7 linked regions of the Coturnix japonica genome follow. The protein of the gene in region 6 purifies or fractionates together with the protein of the main gene of each other region. This does not show direct contact. Links are inferred from orthologs where the notes say so. Each region holds a gene or a part of one and is shown on either strand. Other genes may lie near its edges.

What was found.
Region 1: the proteins of SSRP1 (region 6) and TOP2A fractionate together in Homo sapiens (co-fractionation; 3 studies listed by BioGRID and IntAct, with this or other methods). This does not show direct contact. The link is inferred for Coturnix japonica from reciprocal best matches to the Homo sapiens genes SSRP1 and TOP2A.
Region 2: the proteins of SSRP1 (region 6) and SRPK1 fractionate together in Homo sapiens (co-fractionation; 3 studies listed by BioGRID and IntAct, with this or other methods). This does not show direct contact. The link is inferred for Coturnix japonica from reciprocal best matches to the Homo sapiens genes SSRP1 and SRPK1.
Region 3: the proteins of SSRP1 (region 6) and CHD1 purify together in Homo sapiens (affinity purification with mass spectrometry; 3 studies listed by BioGRID and IntAct, with this or other methods). This does not show direct contact. The link is inferred for Coturnix japonica from reciprocal best matches to the Homo sapiens genes SSRP1 and CHD1.
Region 4: the proteins of SSRP1 (region 6) and MCM4 purify together in Homo sapiens (affinity purification with mass spectrometry; 4 studies listed by BioGRID and IntAct, counting the BioPlex papers as one, with this or other methods). This does not show direct contact. The link is inferred for Coturnix japonica from reciprocal best matches to the Homo sapiens genes SSRP1 and MCM4.
Region 5: the proteins of SSRP1 (region 6) and histone H2A purify together in Homo sapiens (affinity purification with mass spectrometry; 4 studies listed by BioGRID and IntAct, counting the BioPlex papers as one, with this or other methods). This does not show direct contact. The link is inferred for Coturnix japonica from reciprocal best matches to the Homo sapiens genes SSRP1 and H2AX.
Region 7: the proteins of SSRP1 (region 6) and TRIM24 purify together in Homo sapiens (affinity purification with mass spectrometry; 3 studies listed by BioGRID and IntAct, with this or other methods). This does not show direct contact. The link is inferred for Coturnix japonica from reciprocal best matches to the Homo sapiens genes SSRP1 and TRIM24.

The regions. Positions count from the first base shown.
Region 1 is NC_029542.1:4,104,692-4,108,913, forward strand, and holds the start of TOP2A (DNA topoisomerase 2-alpha), read right to left. Parts: upstream 2,801-4,222; 5' UTR 2,786-2,800; coding exon 2,489-2,785; intron 2,415-2,488; coding exon 2,268-2,414; intron 1,185-2,267; coding exon 1,094-1,184; intron 818-1,093; coding exon 754-817; intron 301-753; coding exon 155-300; intron 1-154. Other genes in the region: collagen alpha-1(III) chain-like, read right to left, coding at 3,555-3,765, 3,840-3,952, 4,119-4,222. UniProt on the Homo sapiens protein: Key decatenating enzyme that alters DNA topology by binding to two double-stranded DNA molecules, generating a double-stranded break in one of the strands, passing the intact strand through the broken strand, and religating the broken strand.
Region 2 is NC_029541.1:479,911-482,500, reverse strand, and holds part of SRPK1 (SRSF protein kinase 1), read left to right. Parts: intron 1-463; coding exon 464-571; intron 572-1,154; coding exon 1,155-1,224; intron 1,225-1,600; coding exon 1,601-1,693; intron 1,694-2,212; coding exon 2,213-2,397; 3' UTR 2,398-2,590. UniProt on the Homo sapiens protein: Serine/arginine-rich protein-specific kinase which specifically phosphorylates its substrates at serine residues located in regions rich in arginine/serine dipeptides, known as RS domains and is involved in the phosphorylation of SR splicing factors and the regulation of splicing.
Region 3 is NC_029547.1:45,465,091-45,469,177, reverse strand, and holds the start of CHD1 (chromodomain-helicase-DNA-binding protein 1), read right to left. Parts: upstream 2,801-4,087; 5' UTR 2,487-2,800; intron 1,816-2,486; exon of another isoform or gene 1,650-1,815; intron 810-1,649; 5' UTR 674-809; coding exon 621-673; intron 1-620. UniProt on the Homo sapiens protein: ATP-dependent chromatin-remodeling factor which functions as substrate recognition component of the transcription regulatory histone acetylation (HAT) complex SAGA. Regulates polymerase II transcription.
Region 4 is NC_029517.1:97,603,929-97,606,920, forward strand, and holds part of MCM4 (DNA replication licensing factor MCM4), read left to right. Parts: coding exon 1-108; intron 109-326; coding exon 327-447; intron 448-593; coding exon 594-853; intron 854-985; coding exon 986-1,351; intron 1,352-1,655; coding exon 1,656-1,783; intron 1,784-2,965; coding exon 2,966-2,992. UniProt on the Homo sapiens protein: Acts as a component of the MCM2-7 complex (MCM complex) which is the replicative helicase essential for 'once per cell cycle' DNA replication initiation and elongation in eukaryotic cells.
Region 5 is NC_029539.1:24,533-27,252, reverse strand, and holds histone H2A, read right to left. Parts: upstream 1,507-2,720; 5' UTR 1,225-1,506; coding exon 796-1,224; 3' UTR 501-795; downstream 1-500. Other genes in the region: DPAGT1 (UDP-N-acetylglucosamine--dolichyl-phosphate N-acetylglucosaminephosphotransferase), read right to left, coding at 2,093-2,158. UniProt on the Homo sapiens protein: Variant histone H2A which replaces conventional H2A in a subset of nucleosomes. Nucleosomes wrap and compact DNA into chromatin, limiting DNA accessibility to the cellular machineries which require DNA as a template.
Region 6 is NC_029520.1:7,754,018-7,758,008, forward strand, and holds the start of SSRP1 (FACT complex subunit SSRP1), read right to left. Parts: upstream 2,801-3,991; 5' UTR 2,667-2,800; exon of another isoform or gene 2,638-2,666; intron 2,338-2,637; 5' UTR 2,242-2,337; coding exon 2,188-2,241; intron 1,455-2,187; coding exon 1,269-1,454; intron 973-1,268; coding exon 867-972; intron 233-866; coding exon 42-232; intron 1-41. Other genes in the region: P2RX3 (P2X purinoceptor 3), read left to right, coding at 3,618-3,757. UniProt on the Homo sapiens protein: Component of the FACT complex, a general chromatin factor that acts to reorganize nucleosomes. The FACT complex is involved in multiple processes that require DNA as a template such as mRNA elongation, DNA replication and DNA repair.
Region 7 is NC_029516.1:55,859,755-55,863,780, reverse strand, and holds the start of TRIM24 (transcription intermediary factor 1-alpha), read right to left. Parts: upstream 2,801-4,026; coding exon 2,443-2,800; intron 1-2,442. UniProt on the Homo sapiens protein: Transcriptional coactivator that interacts with numerous nuclear receptors and coactivators and modulates the transcription of target genes.

The sequences.
Region 1 (4,222 bases), on a different chromosome or scaffold from region 6:
ACCAAGTATGACTAACAATAAACTGTCCCACAAACCCTGCAGCCACTATAAAGCTGCATTTAATTAACACCAGTTACTCATATAGGTACTTCAGTTCCCAGATCACACAGTCAGGCTGCCCAGGTACATCTGCACGCTCTGCAGTGTTCCCTACCTGTGACTTTCTTCTCATCATCATCGTAGTTGCTGGATGTCAGCAGCTGCCCAAAGATTAAAGCAGGAACATACACTTTTTCTACTTTGTGTTCAACAACTGGGATACCCTTCCCATTGTTCCACACACTGATGGTGTTATTCTCTCTGGAGGAGGAGGAAAGTATAATTTGTAAGGCTGCAGATGACTGAGCTCTGAAACAAATAGACAAGATCTCCACAGGAAGGCCACCATTTCATCTACAGACAGATTCCTGTTCAGCAACTGCGGCAGCAGCCAGCAGAGGGAGGGCAAGTCTACAAAAAGCCCTCCAGCTTCAGACCTGCAGAGCACCAATACAATGGAGCAGCACACAGAAAGCGTGTGCTCAGTGCAACCACAGCCTGGCAGTCAGTGCTCTGCAACAGAACGAGGAAGCACACAAGGAATGAGGCTGTTACAGCCCATGAGCCACGGTAGGTTTAACATGAATAGGCCTCGACACTGAGCTCTGCAGCACCTACATCAACAGGATGATGTACATACACCAACAGGGCAGTGAGGGAGTGAGAGAATGAAGCAGCTGAGGGGGGAAGGCATTGGACAAAAGCAGCACTCACGGGTCGATGGTAACTTTGATGCAGGACATGCTTTTATCCCTCTGCTTGTTGTCTGCAGCGTTGACTGGAAGGGGAAGGTGACTTTTATTAGAGCGCATTCACAAGTGGGACAATAGACATAAACCATAGTGAAAGGGCTAAATCAGGTGGGGTTTTCAGTAGAACAAATGCAAAGATCCAATGCAAAACCACCAATTAACTCTTTGGAAGGGAGATGTTTGGCAGGTTACAAAGAAGGACGCTACAATAACAGCACCCACAGCAGAACTGAGGGTTAAACGGGCTGTAACACAGCGGCCGTGTCCTTTGGAGGGCAGGTACAATGCTGGGCTGCACTCACCCAGGATCTCATCGAAGATCTTGTACAGGCCAGGCACGAAGGTCACATCCCTGCAGTTGAGGCCCACGTCCTCATCGAACACCCACATTTGCTGCAATGAAGAAGGAGCCACATACAGCACACACATACACCACATATAGCACATATAGCACATATATCACATACACCACATATATCATATATACCACATACACCACATATATCACACATGCCACATACATTACATACACCACATATACCATATATACCACATACATTACACACACCACATATAGCACATATATCATATATACCACATACATCACATACACCACATATAGCACATATATCATATATTATATATACCACATGCATTACATACACCACATATACATACCACATACAATACATACACCACATATATAATACATACCACATATATCACATATACCACATACATTACATATACCACATACATCACATACACCATGTATAGCACATATATCACATATATATCATATATACCACATACATTACATACACCACATACATTACATATACCACATACACCACATATACCATATTTGCCACATATACCACATATATCACATATACCACATACATTACAGACACCACATACATTACACACACCACATATAGCACATATATCATATATACCACATACATTACATACACCACATACATTACATACACCACATACACCCCATGTCACATACATGTCACATACACCCCATGTCACATACATGTCACATACATGTCACATACCACATACATTACATACACCACATATACCACATACACACCACATACATTACATACACCACACACAGCACATATATCACACATATATCACACATATATCACACATATATCTCACATATATCACACATATATCTCACATATATCACACATACATCACACATACATCACACATACATCACACATACATCACACATACATCACACATGTATCACACATGTATCACACATGTATCACACATGTATCACACATGTATCACACATATATCACATCACACATATATCACACATGTATCACACATGTATCACACATGTATCACACATACATCACACATACATCACACATACATCACACATACATCACACATACATCACACATATATCACACATATATCACACATCACAGGTCTCCCCACCTGCGTGACGGTCTCCACAGACCCGATGTACGTGTCCGGCCGCAGCAGAATATGCTCCAGCTGCGTCTTCTTCTGGTAGATGCGCTCCACCGAGAGCCGCTTCTGCGCCACATCGGCCTTGGGCAGCCGGGCGTTGTCGTGAAGGGGCTGCGGGAGAGAGCGGAGCTCAGCGGGGTGGGGAGGGAGGGATGGAGGGAGGGTCTGGTCGGTCCCTCACGTACCCGGAGCGGCGCCGGTGAGTCCATGAGCTCCATGGCGGCGGGCGCGGAGTGATGGCGGCCGGTAACGGCGCAGCGCGTTTCAAACCTCCGCCGAGCCCGCCGAAACGCTCCGCCAATCACAGCGCACCGCCCCTTGAAAACAGCCAATCGCTGAAGGGCGGAGGGACGTACGGCCCGCCCTCCCGTGCGCTCCGCTCTTTCAAAACCAGACAGTCGGGAGAGGGGGCTGCTTGATGGGCAGGTCTGGTAACCAATAGAGGAGCGAGGAAGGAGGGCGCTGCGAGGCACGCAGTACATCGTTTGGGGGGCGGCGGCGTGCGGGGCAGTGCGGGACTGTGCCCCCCCAAAACCATCCTCAGCACCACGGCGGCATCCCAGCCCCATATCCAGCCCCATATCCAGCCCCATATCCAGCCCCATATCCAGCCCCATATCCAGCCCCATATCCAGCCCCATATCCAGCCCTATATCAGCCCCATATCAGCCCTATATCAACCCCATATCAGCCCCATATCAGCCCCATATCAGCTCCATATCAGCCCTATATCAGCCCAATATCAGCCCTATATCAGCCCCATATCAGCCCCATATCAGCCCTATATCAGCCCCATCCCAGCCCTATATCAGCCCCATCCCAGCCCTATATCAGCTCCATATCAGCCCTATATCAGCCCCATATCAGCCCTATATCAGCCCCATATCAGCTCCATATCTGCCCCATCCCAGCCCCATATCTGCCCCGTATCAACTCCATATCAGCCCCATACCTGCCCCATATCAGCCCCATCCCCGCCCGCCCATCCCGCCCATCCCGTTCATCCCGCACGGCGGTTCCATTCGGTTCCATTTGGTTCCATTCGGTTCCATTTGGTGCCATCCCGAACGCAACAAATAGAAGCAGCGCGTTGTAACCGCCCGATGTGCAGCTTTGATTGATCCTTTATTTATATCCGAGGAAACGTGGGCGCTGTGTGTGTGTGGGGGGGGGGGGGGGGGCTCCGTGATGGACGGGGTGTCCGGTGTCCCGCTGCTCCCAGCCGCAGCCCCCCCCAATTCCGGGGGTCTCTCACCACATGTGTCGGTACGGGAAGGCGACCTCCACGCACAGCACCGCCAGCTCCTCGGAGCAGTTTCGGCGCTGCCCGGCCAGCAGCCGGCCCGGACCCAGCGGGGCCGCCAGACCCTCCCCGGGGCCGGAGCTCCGCCAGCCCTGACAGTCCCGGCGCTGGGAATGGCCGCCCCGCCCCGTGGATCCGTGCCACGCCAACCTGCGGGGCCTGCGGGGAGACGGGATGACGGGGAGCCCCGGGGAGACCCCCCGACATCCCACCCTTCGTGGGCCGGGACTCACCAAAGGGCATCGCTCAGCACGTTGCGCCCATTGAACGTGTAGATGGGGCTGCGCAGGGCGGCTCCAGCCGGGCTCTGCAGGAGGGAGCTCCAGGAGCGAGCCAGCAGCTGGCCCTAAGGACACGGGGGGGGCAATGAGCTTTGGGGGGGGGCAGTGAGCTTTGGGGGGGGGACAAGCGTTCCTCAAAGCCCGCTGTCCCCATTGCAATGGCTGTGGGTGCGTCTCGGTGCAAGGAAAACACACGGGGAGCCCGTGCTTGCTGGGGGGATAAAGCCCTGCCTTCAGGTTGACGATGGGGAGGGTCCTGTCCGTCCTCTTGACGATGGAGGCCAGGTCCTGGCTGGGGGCCGACAGGAACGCCCGGAAGGTTCCGTAGAGCCCGG
Region 2 (2,590 bases), on a different chromosome or scaffold from region 6:
TTTGATGGTTGTTCTATGCAGCTTTTAAATGTTTGACATGTCAAATGGAATAAATGTCTGTTTTACGTAGCTTTTAATGGGGCAAAATACTTGAGATCTTAAAGGAAAATAAATTGTTTCAGACTCGGTTCTGTGTCAGGCTTGCAGCATCTGGCAGGGCTTTCTGTGTTGCTCATCTGCTGTGCGGTGGCTGATAGGATCTGATAGGGTAGATAGTAGGCTCTGGAACGGTTCTCCCTATTCTACTTCTGTGGCTTCTTTGAGTTGCTGGACTGCTTTTATTGAAGTAATGTCTCCTGTAGAGCAGTTAAACAGTGCTGGTTAGGAATATAAGGAAAAACATAACAAGGATCTACAGCTCAGGTGAAATCTAATGGGAAAGAGCTTCGATCTGCTCTGGCCTTCCAGGTTTTTCGCCTTTAAACAATCTCCGCCCATTCAGTAAAATGTTTCGTCTGTTTAGCACAAGCACTTCACTGAGGACATCCAGACAAGACAGTACCGTTCCTTGGAGGTGTTGATAGGGTCGGGGTACAGCAGCCCTGCTGACATCTGGAGCACGGCGTGTATGGTGAGTGCTGATCCAGGGACTGTGGGCTGCTGCTGTGGAGTGTTCTGGTAAACTTGTGTGCTCTGTGCACTCTGCAGTCTGCTGGATCTCTAGCCAGGTCTGGCAAAAAGCCCAAAAACAACCCAGACAAACCCAGCAACCTTTGAAAGTCAGGGTTTTGTTGTACGATGCTGGCAGAACTGAAATAGAACTGCACTTCACTGTCATGCTCTATTGATGAGCAAGATGGCGAAGCAGTTCTGAAGACAAGAATCTTTGTATAAAGGGCCTTCTTGGTGCATCCAGCAATGTTTCATAGATGTCTTAGTATTCGAATCCCATGCATTGTCTGCATGTTTGAAATGGTAAGAAAACCTGCTCCGAAATTTACTATAGCTATGCCTGTGGTGTTTTTTTAGTGCTGTCATTAAAACTATAGAATGACTGTGCATCTTGAGATGGTCACAGCATGCTGGAGTTGTGCAGATTATTCTGTTGTCTGCCTTTGCTGTGGTGAGCAGCATTGGGTGGAATCAATCTGTGGTACTTCTAACAATGTGTGAAATGCACTGAAGTGTTTTAATTTTGCTTATTGCTGTTTTAGGCCTTTGAACTAGCAACAGGAGACTACCTATTTGAGCCTCATTCTGGAGAAGACTACTCACGAGATGAAGGTAGGGCATGAAATACAAATCCTTCAGAATGAAAGCTTTCTTTTATGCACAATATGAAATCGTTTAGACTGATGTTAAGGGACTGCTGTGCTTGACCATTTGCAGTAGAAGCTGGCATTCTTGTTCCTGATATCTTCCATTCCTTTAACTCTTAGGTTTTATCTTTCTTCTCTAACTCATCATTCCTGCATCTCTTCATCCCCATACTCCAAGTCTCTGTCTTTGCTGTTGTGATCTGATTTTGGGTGGATGCCAAAGTAGTTTTTGAGGGGGGTTGTGTTTTTGTCCATAACATTCCAGGGAGAGAAACTGCGCCATACAGATAGATGTCTTTTGTGGATATGTTATTCTGTCGTTTCTCTTGAACAAAATGCAGATCACATTGCTTTGATCATAGAACTTCTGGGGAAAATACCTCGCAAGCTCATTTTGGCAGGGAAGTATTCCAAGGAGTTTTTCACCAAAAAAGGTAAAAGGAAATGAAGCAAATGTTATTCTTTTTTCCCCTTTGCCCCACATCTGAATAAACAAAAGTACCTTGCTGGAAGTAGCGCTTAACAACACGTGCCAGCAAAGACAGCTCTTCTAAGGTCTGTTTTATGAGAGGAGGAAAACAGTAAGACAAAACTGCAGCTAAATCTGAAATATCCTCGTCTGACTGCTAAAAATATTCGGTGTCTGGTTATTTGGCATCTTGCTTGTAGATCAAACACAGCAGATTGGAAAACAGTGCTGTATGTGTTTATCATAGAATCACTGAGACTGGAAAAGACTTCCAAGGTCATCTGGTCCAACCATAATTTCTTCAGCCTGGAGGAGGCAAGAGGTTCTAGCATCAATTTTCCTGCAGCATGCCCCAAATTTTATCTTCCCCACATTTAACTATTAAGGAGAGCTCTTTGGATTCAGTCTGTGCTTGCTGTTAGTTCTGTTGTTTGGCTGTTCTACAACCATGCCTTGAAGTTAACATACCTGTCTTGGTTTTCAGGTGATCTGAAGCACATCACTAAACTGAAGCCCTGGGGCCTTTTTGAAGTCTTGGTGGAAAAATATGAATGGTCCCAGGATGATGCAGCTGCATTTACAGACTTCTTACTACCGATGTTGGAGCTGATCCCAGAGAAGCGAGCTACAGCAGCAGAGTGTCTCAGGCACCCCTGGCTTCTCTCTTAGGGGCTTCAACCCAGTGCCACTGCACTGCACTCTGGTTTACAATATAGAATACACACCCCCAGCTGCCCCTTCCCAGATCTGTTTTTTTTTTTTTTTTTCCCTTGTTCAGTTTGAGCGTGAAGTTCTTCCTTCAAGGCTTCCAAGATTTTAGATAAATCTAACCTGTTCTGCTGAGTTTGCTGTTGTGACTCAG
Region 3 (4,087 bases), on a different chromosome or scaffold from region 6:
GAAAATTTGAACTGGGGACTTACACCAAGTGAATGCTGCACTGGAATTCAGTATTAGAGGACTGTGCTTTTCTTGTTGCAGTTTAATTATTATATTATCCTTTCTTTTCCTTGTAATTAAAAATAATATAAAGAAGCTGGTAAATTGCAATCCCATCTCAGAAAAGAGACAGTTAACAATTTCAATGATTACACTGCTTTAACAGCTCTGTGAAAAAGGAAGCCTCGTGAAGTACTACAAGTCAAAAACAGAAATCAACAGCTCACTGCTCCCATATTGGAGATGGCCTTGCACATTCTAAGCTCTAACTTTAACTTTCCAGTCCTATTTCAGCTTTTGAATTTTCAAACATTTTATTTCTTCAAAAGAGTAACACTATTCTGTTGCATGCTGATGTAATTCTAATACTATCTAAGGTTTATTATATAAGGTATCTGCATGATCATTACAATTTTTAGCTGAAGCAATATGAATGTAACAAGCAGATGAAGCATTATAAGAAAGCACACCCAGTTTTCCTATCTAGTTTGCTCACTAATCTGGCACAAAGTTAAACTGTAAATCAATTTTAATGAAAGTACAGAAGAGCACATCCAAGAACAACTGAAATGAGTGCTTACCTTGACTCTCCACTGCTGTTTCTTGCACTTTCTTCATCACTGTGCCCATTCATTGTAAGTATTAAGAAGTTAAAAAGGAAGTCCACTCAGGTTACAAGGTGTATGTCAAGAATCCCCTTTCTGGTACTCCGTATATTTTTGAAGTAATGTGTCTTGCTATTCTCTTGGCTAAGATTTTTGCCCAAATACCTAAAACGATAAAGGAAAACACTGACAAAAATTGAAATTTATGTTTCCAACTAAAAATATAACAGAAACACCTTGGCCTGTCATACTAACACCGAAAGCAGGCATGCATCACATTTCATGTCCTCTTTTTAACTGAAAAACTGCATTCTATGTTACCCATTCATGGTTCCCATTCTTCCCAACAAGTCTTTTTATTTGCTGTACTTAGACAAAACAGTAATAACAGAGAGGAATCATACATGTAAAATGCAAAAAAGGAAAGACCTGTGCATTTTTTGGCCAACTACAGTCAGGTCCCATTACACTCCTTTGCGCAACTTTTCATTGACATTGCTCTAAAGATGACAGTTCTGCTAAACCACTAAATGCAGAACAGGAAACGTTATGGAAATGACCCTCACTTCAGTACTGTAGAGCAAGAAGAATGCTTTACTGTGCATGTGCACTGCGCCTCACAGATTAACTTTTACTATAGTTCTGACTTCGGGACAAATCAGCCATACATTTAGAAGAAAAACTGAACACATTGGAAAAGACTATAAATGTTAATGCTCTGCCAAGATCTGCAGAAACTAACACAGTGGAAGCATTTCTACACACGTACATGCTATTTACATACAGCTGGGGGCAGAAGCAGGATGAACACTGCTTTTTATTATTATTATTTTTTTTTTTTTTTTTTAAGTCCAAACTTAATCAAACCAGCCAGATTTTGCAGAAGAAATGACCCTCATTTCACGTGCAGGAGCACCTTAGGTTTGATGACTGTAGTATCAGATGCAGTCTATGCATCACGAGTCTAAACTTTTGCTCTCTAGGCACAAACAAGCACAAACTCACTCCAAGAAAGCAGCTCCTGCTATGTTTCCTGGTGTGAGAGCTGCCGGCGGGCTCCCTGCCCCGCAGTGCTCTCCCTGGTGAGCAGCGGCCCTGCTCTCCTTCCTTGGGGGAGAGGGTGAGAGCAGTGCCGCTGAGGGACGGGAAATTCCCCATGCTCAGACCCCTCTCAGCTACTGGGCCACTCAGGCCAGCAAACAAAGGCGATGACGGAGGGAAAATGATTAGAAAGAGCCCTTTAACCCGCGAAAGGCCGCGAGGCGAGGCCGGGGCTCGGCGGCCGTTGCCTGAGGAGGCCGCGTTCCGCACCGCGCCCTACGCGCGGAAAAACATCCCGTGGGGCCCTGAGGAACATGGTGAGCGGCCCCGCTGCTCGCTCCGAGGCGACCCGCACGGAGCCCCGCCGCCGCTCTCCCTCCGTCCGCCCCCAGGCGCTGCCGCGGGGACCCGTCCAGAGCTGCCTCCCGCCCCCGGAGCCGGCGCTGGGCGGGCGGCGCGGCCTTCACAGCCGTCGCTCCCGGCCAAGGTTCCCCGGCAGCGTCTTTAAGGCCGTCGCTGTCCTCCACGCTCGCTTCCCCCGGCGCCCCCCACGGCCGGAGGAAAGCCAAGGCCGCGCTGTGCTCCCCGCCGGCTCGGCACGGGCTCCCCCCGCAGGAGCCAGCGAGAGCGGCTCGACACCATCCGGCCGGCCGCCCCGGCCCTCGCTGTTCCCTTCCTCCTTCCGCAGAAAACAGCCCCGCGCCCCTTATCCAGAGCCCCGCACGCCCGATCCATCTCCGTGCGCCACACAACTCTGGTCCGGCGCGTGGGGAAGAGGAGCCATGGCGGGCCGCTTCCTACCTGCGTGACTCTGCTTCTGCGGGACAGGCCTTCCCCGGCCCGAGCCTGCGTGCGCCGCGCGGGGCGCTTCGTGCCGCAGCTCGCGGTCGGGAGCTGCTCCTGCGGCCGCGGCGGGGCCTGGGCCGCCGCTCACTGCCGCCGGCTCCCGGCAACCCCACGCGGAACGCTCTCCCGCCGCCCTCGGCGGCACCGAACAATGGACCCCGAAGCGGGCAGGGAGGGGCGCGGAGATAAGATAAGCAGGGTGGGCGCTGCGCTGCGCCGCTCCGCTGCCGCCGCCGCTCAAGTCCTGCCGACCGCCGCCATCACGCCGCTCAGCCTCCCCCTCCCGCGGTCGGATGGAAACCCCGAGCGTGATGTCAGCCCTGCGCCCTGGGACCGAGCGGGAGGAGGAGGAGGAGGAGGAAGGCAGGGAGGAGGAGCCACGGCCGGGCCGCGCGGAGGGTGGCGGGGGCCGGCCGGGCCTCCTCCCTACGGCGCCGGGCTCGGGGCAGCGCCTCCCCTGCAGGCAGGCGGCGCGGGGGGCCGGGCCGGGCCGGCTGGAGGGCGCTGGGCGCGGCCTGGTCCGGTGGGACGCCATGAATGCAGCGGGCCGTGCTGCGCCGGCTGTATTTCGTGTTAGCGCTCGGTTTCCCCGTGTAAAATCGGAGCCCGTTTCTCGGTGTTCCCGAGCAGTTACAAGCGGTTCCGCGGCGTCCTGAGGAAGGTTTGGCAGGAAGCAAACCTTACCCGGTCCGCTCCGCTGTTAAAAGTGATTAATAAGTCAGCCGCGTGTTTACGGTGTGCCGTGTTCTTCGAAGTAAGTAAATAAATAAACGGCGGAAGTGGTGTGTCTGCAAACGCTCCCAGGGCGGCAAAGGGACGTATGAGGGGCTCCGCTACGGCAGCGGTGGCCCGTAACCAAATACCGCGAGGAACGAGGAAGCAGCTCACCTTCCCTCTGCTCCTCACACCCACGCGGTCCTGCTCCGCCACACCTCCAGGGTTACAAACGGCGGAGACGATGTAGCAGTGCTGGGCATTTCTTCTGCGCCTCGCAAAGGAAGTCGGGATTAGCGTGAGAACAGGGTTCACTCAGCCGGGAGAACTGCGAGGGCTCACAGTGCTGGAGCAGGCAGCCCAGCGTGGCTGCACGGTCTCCTTCTCTGCAGATATTCAGAACTCACCTGGATGCTTTCCTGTGCAACCTACTGTAGGGAACCTGCTTTAGCAGAGGTTTGGATTAGATGCTCTCCAGAAGTCCCTTCCAGCCCCTACAATTCTGTGATGATGTGAAAGCAGAGAGGTGGACGTACCAGTGCACAGTGGTTTTGGTAGCTGTCAAACCAAGTCAAGCTCGAAGGGCTGTGTTGGCCAGGAGCCAGTGTGTGAGCTGCAGTCAGTCAGCTGGAGGCCTCTTGGGCTTGCGGCTTACCTTGTGGTTGCCTTTCAAGGGTGAGAAAGCCAGGCACAGCAGCACTTGCAGGAAGGTGAGCAACCAGTGCTCTAACTGTGTGACTGGGGGCTCCTGGAGTTGTTAGTTCATCTTGCCGGGTGGGGCTGTGAATCCACGGCCCCTGTGCCACTCTGAGAACATCAGAGGCCGGGTGAGGCATATTCAC
Region 4 (2,992 bases), on a different chromosome or scaffold from region 6:
GAAATTGACCGCGGCAGGATTGCTGAACCATCAGTGTGCAGGAACTGTAACACGACGCACAGTATGGCTCTGATTCACAACAGGTCCATGTTTTCTGACAAACAGATGGTACGTTGTGCTTTGATATTGGATAAAATGAAACTTTTTTCCAGTTCTTGTTTCCCATCTCCCCTAATATCATCACAGCATGAAGGTATGCATCTTGAGAAGGAAAGTTCCTAATTGAAAATGATGCAGGAAGCTGTGATAATACAAGATCTTGTATACCTTGTGTACAGCTTTCTTTTTTTTCTTACTTTCGACTTGGTTTTATTTGTTTTTGCTAGATCAAACTGCAGGAATCCCCTGAAGATATGCCAGCCGGACAGACACCTCATACGGTTGCACTGTTTGCTCACAATGACCTTGTTGATAAAGTTCAACCAGGCGATAGAATTAATGTCACAGGTAAAATTTACTTTATTTGCATTTTCCTTTTTAACTGAACTGTAGTAGTTTAATCTATGAGTCTGCTTGTCTGGCAATTGGACGCTTCTTAAGACATATTAGTTAATATGTTTCTTTTATCTAATGCTGTCATTAATTGTATTTAGGCATCTACAGGGCAGTCCCAGTTCGAGTTAATCCGAGGGTCAGTGTTGTAAAATCTGTCTATAAGACCCACATTGATGTCATACATTATCGCAAGACTGATTCAAAACGCCTGCACGGTGTTGATGAGGAAACGGAGCAAAAAATGTTTACAGAAGAACGTGTGGCATTTCTAAAAGAGCTGTCTACTAAAGCAGACATATATGAGAGACTTTCTTCAGCACTGGCCCCAAGTATCTACGAGCATGAAGATATCAAAAAGGTAAAAGGAATTGTGTATTTTGCTTGTAAAACATTTCTGAATTGCAAGTACTCTTTAATTGTTTGCTATACAAATGAGACTTCAAATGAGTTGATATTTTGACTTTAAAGAGCACGTTTGTTTTTTTAACAGGGCATTCTACTTCAGCTCTTTGGAGGATCAAGAAAGGATTTCACTCGCACAGGTAGAGGCAACTTCCGTGCAGAGATCAACATTCTTCTCTGCGGTGATCCCGGCACTAGTAAATCCCAGCTACTCCAGTATGTGTATAACCTGGTTCCTCGAGGCCAGTATACCTCTGGGAAAGGCTCAAGTGCGGTTGGTCTTACTGCATATGTGATGAAGGATCCAGAAACTCGGCAGCTGGTTCTTCAGACAGGCGCTTTAGTACTCAGTGATAATGGCATTTGCTGCATTGATGAGTTTGACAAAATGAATGAAAGCACAAGATCAGTACTTCATGAAGTAATGGAACAACAGACTCTCTCCATTGCAAAGGTTGGTGTCTGCTTAAGTCCAAGTTTTTTGTTCTAAGCATCAGCTCAGGGCAGATGAAACCAAGAAGTTGCCAGAACCAGGGTTGTACTTTTCCGGTGTTGTTAGGATTTCAATCCTAAATTATATAACATCTCGTGCTTATGGACACAGGGCTATCCTTGCATGAACTGTATTATTTCCAGATGCTTTTCTTCTTGCTTTACTCTAGTAGGCTTCTGCAATGAGTTTTTCTATTATGAAACCCTTTAAATGACACTGATCTTATGAAGGTTCTGAATCCAGAACTGCTTTTTCATTTTAACAGGCCGGAATCATTTGTCAACTGAATGCTCGCACATCTATTCTAGCAGCAGCTAACCCAATAGAATCACAATGGAATCCAAAAAAGAATACTATTGAAAACATCCAGCTTCCTCACACACTGTTATCAAGGTACTGAACCCTTCACATGTCTCATGTTTTTTTTACCTGTTGTGAAAAGGATTCAGTATGGTAGAATCAGAATTGCAGCTTCTGCATGAGTGGAGATCTACCTTCTAGTCTATTCATCTTGAACAGAAGATCTGATAAAATCTGTGGATCTTAATCTTTGTTGTGTTCTTTTGTTGGCTTTTTTTTCCTTCCCCCTTGTCTCAAGATCATCCTCTGGAGGAGTTACCTTGAACCTTACAGTAGTTGGTAACTTGAATGGAAACCCAGCATGATTTTCATAACCCTGCACAAGTTTGAAGTGAAACACTGATGATTAGGGAACTTGCACTGGATGTGGTGGACTCTAAAGTTCTGTGCCTGCTTGTTTTCATCCTGTGAAATTCAGTCAGGGAGGGGGCATAGATCTCCTTGGACAGTAGCTGTTAAAACAGCATGTAGCATCTGCAGATGTGAAATTAAGCTATGTACTTTAATTGCATCTGGTGAGCAGTTCCTACACTAATTTAAAGTATATGGATGGTATGCTGGATATTCTGAGAACACCATTTATAGTTCAGAATTCAATGAAAGGCTGCTGACAATGACAGGTAAGTACCTTAGCTGGGATATACCGAAGGAAACTAGGTTTGAGCATGTCTCATTTCTGCCATTTATTGGATTTAAGGTTTTGAAAATACGTGACTAACTAGCTAGAACATTATTATTTACAGTTACCTACAATGTTACCTATTGTGTGCAGAACTAATATTTTGTATTTATTTTAAATGCATATACATCTATATGAATATAGTGAATAGTTATGCACTTTGGTTGCTGCTGCTTTTCAGGGCAGCAGCTCTTACAGTAAGTTTGTTCTGTGTTATTTGTTTAAAACTCCCAAAGAAAAAAGACCAAGTCTGCCTTGAACCAAATTTCACAAAATGTATCTTGTCTTCAAAGTGCATATGTTGAAAGCAAATTCAAACTGATCTGAGGGTTAGACTCGGTGATCTAGCCAGCTGCAGTTCTGTAGTGTTTTGTATTTAAAGGTGTTTGAGGGAAAAGTACTCTTTCAGTTTAAAGAGCACCCTTCATTTGGAGTAGTATCTCCTAAATCTAATTGTGAAGTGAAAAACCATAAAAGAATCAACTTTAAATTGCAGGAAAATATACACGCTCATATTTGATTCTTATTCCGTTCAGGTTTGACTTGATCTTTTTAATGTTGGA
Region 5 (2,720 bases), on a different chromosome or scaffold from region 6:
GCGTTTTTAACACTTGCACCAGCCTTGTCTGACATTTGGGCATAAAATACTTGAAGTACTAAATTGGAGTTTTGCTTTTCTAAGTTTACCTGAGTTGTAAAATCTCTGTGAAACGCGTTTAAAGGGTTTTGTTGCGAGGAGAGATGTAGTAGCAATTGTTCTCCAATTGCATTTAGTAACAAAGCACCAAATACAGGTTATAGTCAGACTAAACAGGGGCAGTGCTGGAGTGCTGCACTGTGCTGACAGCACAGAAGTGTTTTCTGCTAAACTAGTGAAATTGTGGATATTTGGCCCTGGTATCTTCAGGAATGCTGAAGGAGATCAGCATTAGGTTCCCAGTGCAACTACATAGATGTAGAATGAGGACAGGCATTGATATACAGTAACTGGCAATCTTTGTGCTGAAGCATAAGAAATTTGCCTCTAGTTCATGGTTGAACCATCGTGTTGCACTGCCATGTTGCAGTGCCTTACAGAAACATCAGAATAACCCATTGTTGGGTTCCGGTTTTGGAGCTGAAGCATCGTTTATTTCCTGTGCAATGTCTGCTGAATGCAGCAGTCACGTTGTGAGCACCAGGTGTCTTTAGGAAGAGCATCACGTATCTGCATTATGTGACTGCACTGCAGTATCACGCCGTGCCTCCCGCCCGCTCCCATCGCAGCTCCCCCTCGTTCCCGCAGCCCCCGGCCGTCCCTTCCCTCGGATCGCAGCTCTCCCGGTGAGCAATGGAGCGGCCCTGAAAAGGGCCTTTGTGTGCTGGTGGGGGAAGGGGAGCCCGGCCCGGCGGCCTAGTATTCCTGCGACTGCTGCCCGCCGCCCTTCTTGCCGGCCTTGGCCGGGCTGGCGGCGCCTCCCGCCTTCTTGGGCAGCAGCACGGCCTGGATGTTGGGCAGGACGCCGCCCTGCGCGATGGTGACGCCGCCCAGCAGCTTGTTGAGCTCCTCGTCGTTGCGCACCGCCAGCTGCAGGTGGCGCGGGATGATGCGCGTCTTCTTGTTGTCGCGGGCCGCGTTGCCCGCCAGCTCCAGGATCTCGGCCGTCAGGTACTCCAGCACGGCCGCCAGGTACACCGGGGCGCCGGCGCCGACCCGCTCCGCGTAATGGCCGCGCCGCAGCAGCCGGTGGACGCGCCCGACGGGGAACTGCAGCCCGGCCCGGGAGGAACGGGACTTGGCCTTCGCTCGGGCCTTACCGCCACTCTTACCGCGGCCAGACATGGCGCCTCGCAGGGACCGGACACACAACGCGGATCTGCGGAGCTCTGCGGCGGGACAAGGGGAACGCGCCTCCGCCCCGGCGCTTTATAACCTCCCTCAAGGCAGGGCCGCGCTGATTGGACGGCGCCACAGCGCCTCGCTATTGGAGCTCTGCCGCCTGAACCTCTTTGCTGACTGGCTGGCTTGGCGCTCACCTCCCACCTATTGGCGGCGGCGACGGACCAATCAGAAGACAAGGCGCCAAATTCGTACCACGCGGCGGACGTTGGCGCTCACGGCCGGGTACGGTGAGGGGGCGGGGCCACGTGAGCGGGGGGCGGGGCGAAGCGCCGGCAGGGGGCGGGGCCATGTCACAGCGCACGTCAATGTCCGCAAGGCAGAACCGAAGATGGCAATGTACCTCGAGTTCTTTTATTCTCAGAACGCCCTGAGTACAGGTACGATTACAGCACGTCATTCTGCATCCATGGACTCATTCATGAGCCAACAGGGCAATTCCAGCTCACTTGTTCTGCCGTACAGCCTCACAGACGCTGCAGTTCTTATTTCTTCTCTCAAGGAACAGCAACATGTTTCTTACATTTAGACGTTCCATTTCTCCTGCTTTCCCTAAGGACTCTGTACAGATTCGTGTTGCTTATTTCCCATCTGAAAGGTGTTCCCGGTAGCAAGGACATGCAAGCAGTGCTGACTGTCAGCAGAACAGGACAGAGACGCTTTGTCCATAAGAAGAGAACTGTGATTCTAGGCCGGCCTGGAGCAGTTCCTCGTGTTTTGAAAGGTGGCTTCAAGTTTTCAGATCAAAATATCAGATGAATTGAATTGTTTTAGTACAGTTCACTGGAAGGTGCCGCTCCTGGAAGCTCAGTCAGACATCATAAAATAAGCGCACCAGCTGGTACCGCACTGAAAATGCAATCATGCTGCCCAGGACCTAGGATTAAAAACAGACAAATAAATCACAGTAATAACCAACCTGAATCTGAAACCTTACATCAGACAGTTCACTGGTCAGCAGGTTCTTCCTTTACAGATGGATTTGATGTGCTTTAATACACGGCCTGTTCACTATGTAGCACTGTGACCTGACTCAAGACCAAGCTGTATGCGCTTCCTATTCCCTTCTGCCAAAGATGTACTTGGCCCGAGCCCCGCTCTCTCTGTTGGAAGTCTTCTGTTGGAAGGGGAATTTAAGTGCTTTTTCCTAAGGAGAAACTCTTACCTTTGAACTGACACTGAAGAAGGAATTGTAGGCAATTAAGCTACGTCTTTTCTGAAACAAAACATCTACCAGGTAAGAGTTCACGCATTGAGTAGGAGTAGCAGCACTATCTGCAAGGTATGTTCTTGCATTCTGAGTTGCTTCAAAATGTTCCCACACCACACTCAAACTCCAGCTACCACTGAGTTGCATGCCACACTTACGTAAGGGCACCAGCTGGAGATAACACCGGTACTACTGTTATTTGGTATGACTGAAACACAGAACTGCAATA
Region 6 (3,991 bases):
TAGGCGAGGGCAACCAACTAGCCCTCCTGTGCCTCACTCACCTCCACAGGGTCAACACCATCCTCCTGGGTAGGGGGGACGTAGAAGCGAACCTCCATGAGCGAGACCTCAGCGTCATCGTTCTGGTGGAACTCCAGCGTCACTTCGTTCTTGCCCGTCGTGCACTGGGAGACATTGCTGAGGGGGATCTCAAACACCGGCTGCTCCCCGATGTCAAAGGAGAGAAGCTGCCCTACAGGAAGTGGGGAGGGATAAGAACCTCAGGTCAACCCTGCTGGGCAGACCCAAGGTGAGTTCCATCCCAGATCCAAACTCCAGAAGCAGCATCGTTCTTCTCTCAAAACCCAGCAGTGCCTCCCCTCTCCCTCCCTTCTTTTCAATGTTTTCAACGCAGATATCCAGGCTTTCTCCTCCCAGCTACAGTAACAGAGAATTATATTGATCAAAAACAAATAGGCTGTTTATTCCCCTCTTCCTCCTCTCTCAGAGCAGGGAGGGGCATTCACCAGCTCTTCTGGCTCCCTGAGGAATTGGCAGGCTCTATTAGATGCTCACAGCTCCCATGCAGATTTCTCTTTTACATTGAGCATTCTCTGCCTACCCCCACCCCGAACATGCTGTGCTGCCTGCAAGTATCTCCTGCTTTCCTGGGATGACCGACATCCATACTGTATCCAAAACCACCACTAAAAAAGGGAGCAGTTTTCCAGAGGAGCATCTAAAGCTGTCAACAGCCAGGGGCTGGTGGGATGAAGACACTGACCCACCAGATGCCCATCCAGCCCCACCACCTTGACCTACACACTGCAGACTCTCTTGCTCCAGCAGCAGCATCACCGCTCTGTTCCTGTCTTACCATAACTCACCTCCAAACCTCACTGTGCCCCAGTTCCAACCCTTCACACACAGGTCCTTCTCAGCCAGCTCCAGGCGATAGTGTGCCTTGAAGAAATCTGAGAGCTTATCAAACTCCTGTGAGGGGTGGGAAAGAACAGAGAAAAAGTGAACGCTCATCAGAAACTGCTGTGTACGCATCAGCACGACCCAGAGCCTGTAACTGGGACATTGCCCATGGTACGAGAGAAGTGATGAGAAAAAAACAGACATCAGCTGCTGTTAAAGGGAAGGAGATCAGCTCTGTGAGATATGGCAGATCCTGCAGGCAGTGTAACCCGATACAGAGCAAGCAAAGAGACTGTGGCACAAGCGAGCTGAAGAAAGGATGGTCAGCATGGCTCAGACAACAGTCAGAAACGGCACGGACTCACCGATTCCCGGAAACCATCGTATTTGTAGACATGGCCATTCTTGGTGAGAAGCTTGAGGCCGTGACCGAGCGCCACACGCCGCCACACACCCTCTGCCAGCTCCGAGGCCTGGATGTTGTCCACCTTCCCTGTCTTGCTGTTCTTGAAGATGACGCCCTGGCGGCTCAGCCGCAGCCGGCCATCGTTCTGGTGGGAGGTGGGTGTGAGGTACAGGCAGCTTGCCCCGTGCACATGGAGGGGAGCAGCCCAAGGGTGGGAACTTCCACGCAGCACAGACAGCTGCTAAGCTCTCCCAGGGGACGCAAAGCGAATTCCCCAACCACCCACCAGTTTCTGTTCTCCATGCACTCCTTACCACCCTCCTTTGGGATTCAGGCAGCCGGGTTGCCAGCAGCCTCGGTACTAGAGCTCCATCAGGCATTTAGGAACAGTCTCCCAGATGCCACAGGGTAACCCAGAAATGCTCAACATCACTGCAGCATGGCACTGCGCCCCACCCCCCCAAGCACTGGAACAGGCTGATTTACAGCACCCAGCTGCCCAGCAGTAGCTACTGCATCAAAGGGTGAATGCTTGAAGCTGGCATCCCTTCCCCTGGACACGTTCCCAACCACAACCTTGCTAGCTCCGCAACAGGCTGCTACTAAAAGCCCCTGTTGATGCTCCAAAATGCTTCAGCTCTGGAAACAAGGCGCCTCAGCTCCCATTTCCAGTCGAGCTCAGCAAAACAAGCTCTGCCAGGACAAGGCAGCGGAAGAGCTGCAGGGATGGGGGGGGGGGGGCCATACCGCACCCCTGGGTGTACAGCTGAGACCAGGCCTCAGAGCCACACCGTGTGCCTCCAGCCTGTGAGATGGGGCGAGCACTCCTGGCATCAGGCAGCACCCCAGATAGCTGCCCCCAGCACCGAGCTGCTCACCATGGATCCCTTCACCTCCTGGTAGATCTCGTTGAACTCCAGCGTGTCAGCCATGACGAAGGGGGCCGTGCTGGCAGGCAGGCAGGAGGAGGCCGGAGTTCAGCTCCGTGCCGAGGTCGGCATGCCCTGCTGCCACCGAGCAGCGACGTGCTGGGGGCGGAGGAGGGGGGAGAAAGTGAGTACGGACATGGGAACCCCAGAGCGATCCGTGAGGGATGTGACCCCACAGCAACACCCCCCCCTTAACGCCTCCCCGGGGCTCCCAGGGCCGTTGATCCTCCCGTCCCACTACAGAAGGGGCACAACAGCCCTGAGCAGCCCCTACCACCCCTTGTTCCTAGGCCCCACGCCCCCATCCGCCGCCCCACAGCTCACACCGGCCGCCCCCCCTCCCATCACCCCCTCCCCCCAGCGCCCTCCCCACCCATCACCCCCCCCCCGTCAGCCGACCCCTCGTTTCCCGCCTGCGCAACACGAACCTCGCGCGAAGCCGCCTCCCCCCACAACCGCCTCCCGCGCCGCGGCCGGAACCCGCCCCCACTTCCGCCATAGAGACGAGCCGCCGCTCGGCCGCTCTGGCATGGAGGCGGCGGGGTGGAAGGAGGGCGGGCTAGAGCGGCCGCTCCCCGAAGCGGCGGTCTGTCTCACCTGGAACCATAGAGAGGAGGGAGGCCTCCAGCCGGAAAGTGGGGGGGCTGCTTCCCATTGGCTGAGCCGGGTGATCCCCGTGACGTTATGGTGGCTGTGCCCGGCACATGGCGGGTCGGGGTACAGCTCTAATAGGGCACTGCGGAATGGGGGTACGGCCAACGTGGGGCACCCCGCGTAAAGGGCAGCCCTACAGCGGGACACAGCGATATGGGACCCGGCCAGGCGCTGCGAGATGGCACACGGGGTCCGCGAGCACAGAGACACCCGGAGTGGGACCATCCCGAGTGCGGGGCATTAAAAACCAGAGTCACACTATTCAACACAGGGCACACAGCAACAACAACAGGGCATACAGCCCCCAACAACGGGGCACACAGCCCCAACAACAGGGCACACAACCCCAGTAGGGCACACAGCCCCCCAGGGCACCCGGGCAGCGCTGCCCCGTGTAGCACCGCCGCACAACCAGCCCTCTCTCACCGCCTCTCTCAGCCCTCCCCCCACCCACATCCTCCTCCCCTCCCTCCTCCTCCTTCCCCCCGTGCCCCCTCCCTCCATCTCCCCCTGCCCCCCCTCCCGCTCCCTCCGTCCTGTGCCCACCCCTCTGCACCACCCCGCCCGCATCCCTGCCCACATCCCCGCATCGCTGCCTTTATCTGCCCGCATCCCTGCCCGCTGCCTGTATCCCTGCCTCGCTCCCTGCGTCCGTCCCTTCCCACCGCCCGTATCCCCACCCGTATCCTTGTGGAGCCCCTGCTTGTGCCCCCGCCCGGCTGCCCATGCCCCCCCAGCGCTCCCAGTCCGGCTGCCTGGCTGATTTCTTCTCCTACGAGACCACCAAGTCGGTGGTGGTGAAGAGCTGGGTGGTGGGCGTCGTCAACCGGGTCGTGCAGCTCCTCATCCTTTCCTACTTCATCGGGTGAGAGACCCTCCCAACGGGACCCCGCTCCTCTGCTGGTGTCCCCCCACCCCTCGGCAGACGCTGCTCCCGGTGTACACGGTTTCCCTGATGCCGTGGTGACAAGCTGGGGACCGGGAGGGTGACACCGAGAGGGGACGTTGGGTGGGTGCATGATGTGGGGTCAGGAGGGTGTCGTGGGAATGGCAGCTGCCCGCTGGGTGTGGGGGTGGGAACCAGGCTGTGAGAAGTGAT
Region 7 (4,026 bases), on a different chromosome or scaffold from region 6:
GCTGTCCATATTGACCTGTGCATCAAGTGCGCAACACCGAAACTCTCAATTCACTTACGATCCTCAGGTTTGAAAGCTTTTTCACAGCACGCTCTTCTTAGCTGTTAATAACTTAGCAGGGAGTGAGCCAACAATCTCCCAGGTTGTCTTCCAACACGAGTTTTAGTAAAGCAAAGGAGCATTTCCGCTTGGAAGTGGTTTACTGAAGACAAAAAGCTGATTAATAGGAGCTCACACATCCAGACTACACTAGAAAATCGGTTTGTTTTTAGTTCCCAGTTCCTCAGTTAACGTGGATATTAGCACAGCACGACGCGCCTTCCCAGAGCTGGCGCACTGAGGCATTTGTCAAATCAGAGCCTTTCCTTTGTTCAAGCCTGATTCCCTCCTGCCAGTCTTTCTCCAGGCATCTTTTTGTGCCTGGTACTGCTCGGTACATGTGCATAAGCAGCCCTCCTGTTTACCTTTCAGGAGTTTTTCATAGTTTGTTATTCTATTGTAGCCCTTCCATAGGACATTGCTTCTAGCGAACAGCTTCTTCGCTTGTTTATTTCTTCGCTGCAGTCACGGGATCTTATAATTTACATAACGTGAGGAATTTATTGTCTAGCTTTCTAAGCTTATACTCTTCTGTTTATTACTTCAGATAATTTCTCATACACATTTTGTGCAACGTATTACTGGAGGTGACAGCTTTATGCTGTTTTGTCCCTTCTTCTGTCTTCTGAAACTCCAGGACTTCCTTCAACCACAACACATTATTCCTCGCAATAATCAGCTCTATAAGGTGAGTCTTTCTTCAAAGCCTAACATAAATTTACTACTCCCTTTACATCACTTGGAAAACAAAGCAGCCAATGCACGTGTAATTAGCTGGTACGCTGTCACTTCAACGTAGCCAAAACAGTGACAAGACCTAAGGAATGTGACAAAGACTGTGAGATCTATACGGGTTTCTTCTTCCCAATGGACAATTAACAGTAGCGTGGAAGCACACAAATAACTAGAAAGAAAGTAGGGTAAAAATTGGTATGGCTGTATACTTGAAGAACAGAGAGAAGTATGCATTGAGCTATTCATTCATACACAGCCCACTCACATCATCAGAAAGAGTGAATGGCGGTATCAGTTCACTGCTGCTATGATTCATTGTTTTAGCTGTCCTTTGTCCTCCTGTAAGCAGACGTTCGAACAGCACTCATCTTTTCATTCTTAAGATGCATCTCATTTCATGCTCAACGGCACCTCGTTTTATTTCTGCTATATTTAAACATAACGTCTGGGAATTGAGCTATGCTATTCATGACCTCGAAACTCCTAATGATCGCACTCTCCCACAACCTATGTTGCAACTCCTGAGCTGGCAGCATCTATGCCCCCATTTCTCCTTTCCAAGTCCCATCTTAAAATATCTCACCATCCACCAAGTTTGGGCTTTGCATGTTAATTCTATACAGTTCACGGCTCTGCTCTGAAATGGAAGAGCAACAGCATCTCCTGGATCCGACAAGTTTAAATACACCAGCTTTGGGTCTCACCGATTACCCGATTCTTAAAGTTCTGATGAGACAACCTGACTGCTACCTAAACTAAATGTTAAAATTAAAGGCTGAATGAACATACTAACACAGACATCCACGTGGAGGAACAGGCTCAGCATACCCTGCTAACAAACATCCCAGGCCTGACTTTCTCAGGTAAGCCCAAGCAAGGCTCCAATTGTCCCAAGTATTTAGATAGACGGTTTTCTTTTGTATACAGCCGGAAATGGTTCAAGCTGTACCCCTTTGGATCAGATGTGCTGGCGGGTAGTAGAAACAGAAGCCTTTATTACTGAGCAAGTAATTGTCTTAAGTACCAGGTACTTAAGAGGACAATGGCCGATACCTACTCAATAACGGCCAGTCTGGAGTTCCTGCCGCCTTGTGTAGGTAGAATTTTCTACTCGAGCTCACAAAAAGCACAGCCACATACATCCTATTAACTCCTATCATCAAAGTTGAGCATCTCTGCACGCAGCATTCTCCAGGACCTTCCCCGTTCTCAGCAGATGATGCTTGCGGGTACCGTTCCCTACGATGCAGCTGCAGGTCGGACCGCTCCTCAAGCATTTCAAACACACTCAACATCAACACGAGCTCCCGTATCTCCAAAGGAGCTCCCCAAAACTTTCTCACGGCATTCCCTGTCCGCTGTGGCACAAACCAAGTTTCCTCCGGCGGGCCGGAGCTGCCCGCGGCGCTGAGCGGACAGGTGCCACCCGACCGGCCGGCGGTGCTTGGCGCTACGAGGATGACACCCGCCGGACTTCCCGGGCCGAGGTGGGAAATTTGAACGAAATAAAGAAACACCGACCCCGCCCCCCCTCCCCTCCCCGCCCACTAACCTCCCCTCGCGACACCCCGCCATCTATCGCGACAGACGCGTCCCCAGCGGCCTTACCGGGCGTGCAGTGGAGGGGCGAGGGGCCGGGCGAGGCGGGAGGGGGCGGCGGCTCCTTGGTCGGTGCGGCGGGGGGCAGCATGAGGTAGCGGTCGGGCTGCGGCAGGCAGCGCTGACACACGGTGTGGAGGCAGGGCAGCAGCTTGGGCTGCCGGCTCTGGATGGGCTGCCCGCACACGCCGCAAGTGTCCAACAGGTTGAGCGGGGCCGCCTCCCCGCCGCGTTCCGCCGGGCCCTGGCGGCTCTCGGCCTCGTTCTCCCCGCTCAGCGCCGCCGCCCCCGTCCGATCCACCGGGCACGGCCCCCCCTTGGCCGCCGCCGCTTCCGTCGCTACAACCGTAGCCGTCGCTTCTTCCATTGTCCTGAGCCGGTCTACGGAGCGCCGAAGAGAGGCGGGGCGGCCCCTCCGTCCGCCGCCTTTCTCCCGCCTTCCCTCGCCGACACCCACCCGCGGGCGGCCCGCGCTGTTTGTGTGCGTGCCCCGGGAGGAGGCTGCCCCGCCGCCACAAACGGCCAACGGCCGCCCGCGCCCCGCCCCGCTCCTCTCCCCCTCCGCTGCACGCCCCTCCCCGCTCCACACCCCCGGCTACGTGCGGAGCGAGCCGGCCCGGCCCGCCCTCGAACCAACCAGCCCCTTCCCTCACGTAGGCCCCGCCCCTCATAAGCCTCCCCCGCTGTAGGCCGTGCCCCTAATGGCTCTCATCCGCAGGCGGTCTCCTCACCTCTGTGCGCAGCCCTCACCACCCAAAAACAGCCCTGCACCCCACCGGTTCGAGTTCACTTTGTTAAAGACTTCCAACTGCTGCAGCCCGAGTGGTTGGGCCAGGAGGCATGTAGACATTTTGGCCTGTGTTCAGTTTGGCCCGTGGCATCGATGCCTCTGTTCACAGGCACATCGCCGAACTGAAGTTGATAGGCAATCAGTAAAACTTTAAAAGTACAGATCTAGTTTGGACGCACCGTTCTGCTGAATCAAATGCTTAAACTTCAGTACACACGCTGATGTAAAACATTGCCTATGTATTGGTCACAGGTCAGTCATAGGCTGATTCACGCTGATGCCAGATGGCTCAGTAGCCCGCTTTCTGGCAATCCCTTCTAGATCAGAGATAAATGTAATTCCTGGTTCCAACTCAACTATACAATATCAGCTCAACAGACAGGGAAGCATGACATGACACCAGCAGCACTTGTCCAAAGCAACTTCTGCCTCCCAACCTGGCTCAAATCCTGCCCTCCTCTCTACCATCTTGGCTGTGCAGCACTATATGATGGTGTTCTATTTAGTCCTTGTGACAGGAGCTAATGTGCCAAGACTGTGTAAATGCTAAATGATGAAACAGGGTCAGGAATTAAAACTAATGATAACGGCATGAGTTCTGTTAGGTGAAAAAAAAAGCAACAAAACCACCACTGGGATAGGCAGGTGATAACTGAAGTGCATTTGATTAGTTTTAATGGCAAATGATTGGAAAGTCAATGAATAATGTATTTCTAATGAATGACAGGAAACCATGCGTTCATCAGACCAGTTTCTGCAACTAGAATTAGCTGTTTCTCCAGCAGGAGTCTGGACAGGAAAGT